2 linked regions of the Coturnix japonica genome follow. The protein of the gene in region 2 interacts with the protein of the main gene of each other region in a biochemical or structural test. Links are inferred from orthologs where the notes say so. Each region holds a gene or a part of one and is shown on either strand. Other genes may lie near its edges.

What was found. The genes of interacting proteins can lie anywhere in the genome.
Region 1: the proteins of PATJ (region 2) and PKP4 interact in a test that uses a peptide from one of them, tested with the Homo sapiens proteins (2 studies listed by IntAct, with this or other methods). The link is inferred for Coturnix japonica from reciprocal best matches to the Homo sapiens genes PATJ and PKP4.

The regions. Positions count from the first base shown.
Region 1 is NC_029522.1:33,231,523-33,234,079, reverse strand, and holds the end of PKP4 (plakophilin-4), read right to left. Parts: intron 2,316-2,557; coding exon 2,242-2,315; intron 1,687-2,241; coding exon 1,438-1,686; 3' UTR 602-1,437; downstream 1-601. UniProt on the Homo sapiens protein: Plays a role as a regulator of Rho activity during cytokinesis. May play a role in junctional plaques.
Region 2 is NC_029523.1:24,550,852-24,554,511, reverse strand, and holds part of PATJ (inaD-like protein), read right to left. Parts: intron 2,260-3,660; 5' UTR 2,128-2,259; intron 1,117-2,127; 5' UTR 1,083-1,116; coding exon 1,061-1,082; intron 979-1,060; coding exon 812-978; intron 1-811.

The sequences.
Region 1 (2,557 bases), on a different chromosome or scaffold from region 2:
TTCCCCTAGTGCAGCTGGGGGGCAGAAGTAGCCCCAACCAAGTAAGGAAATTGAATTTAATTGGAGCAGTTCTGCTTACATTACCTGTCATCACTGCACCAACACAGATGGGGCATTTGCAGACACTGAAAACCGAAGAAATTTGCTCGGATGGGGAACAAAAACTAAGAACAATATGAAGTCAACAGACTCTACAGCGTGAGGAGAGTTACCTGTATCATCAGTGATTTGGGTTGTAAATAAATCCAAGGGAAGTGCAGGCAAACGGGAGACTGTACGCGCTGAAAGCAAGGAGAGAGAAATTTGATTGGGGGGAACAAGGGGGGGAGCAGAGGAGTGCTGGGAAGAAACTGCGACAAACCCCAGTTGTCTGTAGCCAAAGTGATGGGGGAATAAAGGGTGAGCAGGACGTACCTTTGTGCTTTGCTGTGCCAGCCTGACACCTTTGGAACATGTGCACCGTGCAATGCTGAGACAATGGCCAAGGGGATTCTGATACGTTTAACCTGATGAAGAAAAGCAGCTGCACTTTGCATTGCCAGTATTTGGTTCTGAAATACCACACGCCAAAAATGACTACAATAAAAGAACAGGGACCAGCTTTCCATGGATGAGACGTCCATATTTATTGTTCTTCCATGTGCATAGAAAATGGCAGTGAAGGTTTTTGTTTGTTTTTGTATGAAATATGCAGAGAATGGAATGGGAGAGGTGCAGGGATGCTGAGCGGGACGTTGTGCTTCAAAATTATGCTCTTGATTAATTGAGATCTATATTAATTTATATCTTTAAAATTTATAACATTTTCTTGGAATTTATTTTTTTTTTGTGTACGATGTTTCAAATCTCTTTCAGAATGACACACTGCATTACAACTGGATGGCACTTGGAACCAATGTGGCATTTCCATATTTACACCAATGAAAGAAATTTACACGACATAATAGCATACAATCTCCACATTTAGTAATATCAATAAAACAAGGGCATCCATTTTATTTTTTTCTGTACAAACTATCGGAACAAGACTTTTATTCACATAAAAAACAGGCTTCATTTGCTCTGACCTACACACTTTCCAATTCCTTTGACTCAGTCCTCAAACCTTTCATCACATGGCCCACACCCTCACCAGACTACAGAAGCTACAAGTGATAATACCTAACATCTAAACAGAGCAAAGAAACATCCCTTCCAGTTCTTCTCTCTGACAGTTCTTCACTCCAAAAAAAAAATACAAAAAAAAACCCTGCAAAACCTAAAACAAAAAAACCCAAACCAAAGCCAAATGCCCTCCAAAACCCCAACCAAAAGACTTCCTTGTCTCCTCTTTTATTTCACCTTCAGATTTCATAACCGGGACATCAAATGAGGCCACTCCATTTCTTCTCAAGCACGATGAGAAAAGTACTGTTGGTTTTTTTTTTCCCTTTGATGCTACACCCAGGAGTCGGGTGAACCTGGGTACTGTTCTGCCCTATAAGAAGATCGTCTGGTGGAATAAAAGTCTACATAATTTGTGGTTGATTTCAGTCCATACTGCGTCGTGTAGTCTGCGTTAGCAGGAAAGTGAACTCGATCATCAAAGTATGGGTCCTCGTAGCTGTGTGGGGACTGCAGGTACAACCTGTACGCGTCGCAGTTCTTTCTGTTGGTGTCTTCTTGACTGTAGTACAGTTGTTGATGCTGTTTACAACATGAAAGAAAAATAAACTTTTAAGATGTAATTAAACAGAGAAAATGCTTGTTTCTGGAGCTGATATGCATCACACACACAGCTTTCCCTGGGTAGTTAAGTGTAGCTCTTCCAATGACCACAACTGCATGAAACGCCCCGAAGGCTCCAGGTAAAACTAATGCAGGGAAAACCTCTCAGCCTGTCGGCAGGTCACTGCCTGCATCCACTGCAAAGCCAGTAGTAACCCTCAGCTGTGCTTTCAGGGCATGTGTAGAAGGTACAGAACCTGACTGTAGCTACCAAAAGTATCTGCCAAGCCAGAAAAGGGGTCTGGGATCCAACCGTGCTACCAACACGCTGAGATGTGGGTTATCGAAGGAAAACACAGCGGTGAGCTGGCAATGGCTTATGTACTTCTGAGCACTGTACTGCTCAGCCGTGTAGATACTCTCCACAAAACACACCCTGACCGTACAAGGTGTACTACAGCTCTTTAAGGTCCCATTAAAACACTGTAAGCTGAGTCATTTCAGTATAGCTTCAGAACAAAGCTTCAGACTCACCTGTAGCCGTCTGTTCTGCTCTCTGGCTGGTGAGGAATAGGAACTGATATAAATTGGCGACGTTTTGCTGGAACCTGTGAGGAAATAGGTTTTGGCATCATCTTCACTATCTTTTTGTCCCTGTGCTTCTACTTTATCTCAGCAGTAGTTAAGCAGAAACCCCAATGCTTCTTTTCCCCATGCATGTGTCCTGCTGAAAACCTTTATAATGAGGAAATATTGCTCCCTATTTACTGACATCTCTTATTTTGTGACTTGAAGAAGGAAAAGCAAAGTCCGGGAAGTGTGAAATCCCAGTTTAGCTTTATAAAAACAT
Region 2 (3,660 bases):
GAAGACAAGTATGAATGGCAGAGCCACTACATGGTATCCAGGCAGCAATACTGGCAATATATTTAGCAATGACAGCATGGTGGCACCATTCTCCTGAGACCTACCCCACCATATCTGCAGCTGGACAGGTTCAGTAACAGCAAAGACAGGAATTAGTGTTGCATAGAGTGTGCCAAGTTAGTCCCTGATTTTTAAGCTTCCGTGCCTGACTTGGCAAACTGCATGGTAGAGGTGTCAACAACATCTTTGTCTACAAGATCCAAGCATCTACTGGCATTATGACTTCCACTGCCATACTTAACTGACTTAAAAGCTAGGTTGGATATGTCTGCATCAGAGCTTGGCACATCTTCAGGGTGATTTTCTACATTTTATTTCCCAAAGCATGTTAACCATTCTTGTACAAGTCAGCAGCAGTTAACGGATAGTGTCTTTTAAGGAGACAAGGTGCTGCTAGTCAGCTGATGAACAGTACTGAGAAAAACAGAGAATCTCAGTTTCAACTGTTTTCAGAACTCAAAGTATTAGAGCTGATGTCTTTTGCAGATGCTTTTCTCAGACTGACGTGGTTCTCGATGTCTCTTCTACACCCTTATCAAAGCATGGTGCCCCATGACTAGAGCATTGTAAGGTCATTTCTCATGTCAGAAGTGACTCAATAGATACAGGCTTGACAAGAAAAAGGCCAACATTCAGTAGCACCAACTTATAGCTTATTAATGACTGTCCTCATTAGCGCATGCCTACACAGACTTTTGTTCCAAGTTCAGTATAGTTATAATCACACCAACAATTGTAATTCTACACTCACTTGATCTTTCAGTTGTTTGATGGATTGCTGGAGGGTCAGAATCTGGTTAAACAAAGGGCTCTTGAGCGTGTTTCGCAGCACAGACAGGTTCTCGTTATGTTGGACATCTCTTTTCTCACGCAGTTTTGCTTGCAGACGGTCAATGATCTGCAGCACCTGCTGTTTATCTGCACCACAAAGTAGTTATATGTTAGGAATGGAGCATAATTTCTCACCACTTAACAGAGTATTCACTTTCAGACTACATACCTGCAGCAGGGTTTTCAGGCATGTTGGAGAATATCTTTGGAATTACTCAGAATAATCTAGATGAGATAAAAACAACAAACAAATACATGATATCTTTGAGTAGAATGCTTTAAGGTAGAATGTCAATAAATGCAGTAGTAAAATATTAAGTTAACTATAACAAAATTAATTAAAGAACACCACAATTAGCTCTTCAGTACAGCCAGTTGCAGAGCAGCCCAGCACACTCACAAATTTCTCCTTGTTCTGTGTGCTGCTGCTTTTACACTAGAAAAGGAAGAACAACTCTTCCAAAGATGAGGAATAATACACATTATAAAACAAAAGCAACAAATTGGTCAAAGAAATCAACACAGCTATGTTCAACCAAATTATCTGGAATGAGAACATTAAAACTGTGATCTTTTCAAATACACAATACCTAACTCTTTGTATTATTTAGCAGGTACTTCCACTTGTTTTAATTATTTGTGTATCTCACAACAGCTCAGCCCTGCTATGTGGCAATACAGGTGAAATCTTGAAATAAAACAATTCTTCAAGAAGTTCCCATAAAATGATGAGGTCCCCTTTGCTCACAAAACAGCATAGCATCAATGTCCCAAATTGGCTAACCCAATTCCTAATCCAGCATCTTAGTGACAGCTTTGGTGTCAAATAGGTAAGAGAAAACTATGTCCTTCTCCTCCATGTGCTTGCCTTTCTCTTTCCTATATATGAGACAAGCTTTAAAGGAACATGGTGTCCTTTCCCACCCTCTCTGCAACGTGAAAGAGAACAGGTCTGCAGCTGAGGCTGAGGCCTAGAGGACTTTCATTTGCAAGTTATAAAGTTCAGGTGGAGCCTCTCATTCTGAAACCTATCAAAGTAGTTACACCAAAAACACAAGAAACAAGATTTCTTCGCTTAGTACAAGCTCTTCTGAAAGAAGTCAACTGTTTAATAGCACAAATTACATAATTTAGACTATGCCCTGTATATAACAGTGCAACTTCAGAACAATATAAATTTGGAATTATTTGGGGAAAAAAAAAAAATCTATACTGCAAAAAAAGCTCTACATTTACTTTGTTAATCTTGCAATCCAAGAGCGAGTATGGTTGTTTGTGTATTATTGCTCACCCAGCAGAACCTCTGACCCTTTCAGCTCTGATCCTATCCACGCCCCAGCCAAAAATGTCTGGAATTCCAGGAAGACACTGAAATACATAAGAGAATAATAATTAAGCAGATGAAAAAGAAAGAAAAAAAAAAAAAATAGGTGGTAAGTCACAAAGCACAGTTTCAGATTTATGTACACTTTGCTCAATGTAAGCAATTTTGGCTTCTACGAGAATTCCTGCAGAACTCGGTGGACTTGCATGGTTTCCACCTAGGGCCAAGCAAAATGAGTCCCTTCACAAGACTATTAACAGATTTAGGAGGTCATTTCAAATCAAATTCATAGGAGGGGCTGAGGAGGCACACAACTCCTGAAAGACTTTCAGGAATGCATCTGAACTTATGTGAGTTCTGCAGCTTTATTTCCTTTTCTATTTGAAACAAAATAGCACAGCAGCGGCCTTTGATTCTGTGCTGAGATCTGATTCTGAAGTACAGATGAAAATACCATTTCCTTATATACTCCTGAGTCTTCACATAAACCAAGAAGTCCAAACTTCACCTCCTTAGCTAAAAATACTGTGTGAATCTTAAAAAACAGGAATATGAAGGGTTTTTTCCCCTTCATAATCAATGTAACTTCCCCGTTTTCACATCAGCAGTAAAACAATAAAGCAAACCAGCAACAGTGAGATACACAAGAACTCCTATGAGGAAAAGTGACTTGAAACACCTTAATGCCAGTGGTAGGGTGAAGATTAAACCCAGAAAAGAAATGCAGTATGGCAGGAAATAACAACTTGACAACACTGTACCCATCTAACAGCCAAGAAGCCAAAGTATCTTTCATGCATTTTGTCCTCCTTCCCGTCCCATCTGGGCTGGCCTTTATTCATCTGATCCCACAGTGAACTGGAGCAGGGAGTTAAACACCCAACAAGCCCCCACATTTGGTGGGGCCGAGCCTCCTGCCCACCTAGTGCTCAAACAACAGCACATGGGATGGGGCTGGGAACAGGACCACACCTTGCAGCAGCAACTAGCGGTTGCAGTAGCTCAGCTGTGCTGGCAAACTGTACCATGAGAAATAGCCTGCGTCATTCAAAGGCAGCCTCAAAGAGCCGTGCTGACAGTCTCCAAGATTAATCTTTTTTCCATTACAGCGGGTGTAACAATAGCAATTATGGCAACGGGTGCAGATCCAAGGAAGAAAAATTAGAGCAGAAAAATGTATGTAGGATATCTAGGCTCCATCTAACATGCAGAAGTCCCCTGGAGAAGGAGGTGAAAAAAAGAAAACATAAAATCACAAGGAAATACATTAAAGAAAGCATCAGCTTCCTGCTTGGGCTGCCCCAAAGCACTGCTGAGAACCACTGCAGAGCACTTCTCTCCAGCAGATGCTGAAGTGGACCTCAGGTACAGTTAGCAGGAAAGTTCAAGTTTACACAGCACTTTGGGATCCCTCGTGATTAAAGCTGGCCTCTAGTCAGCTTGCA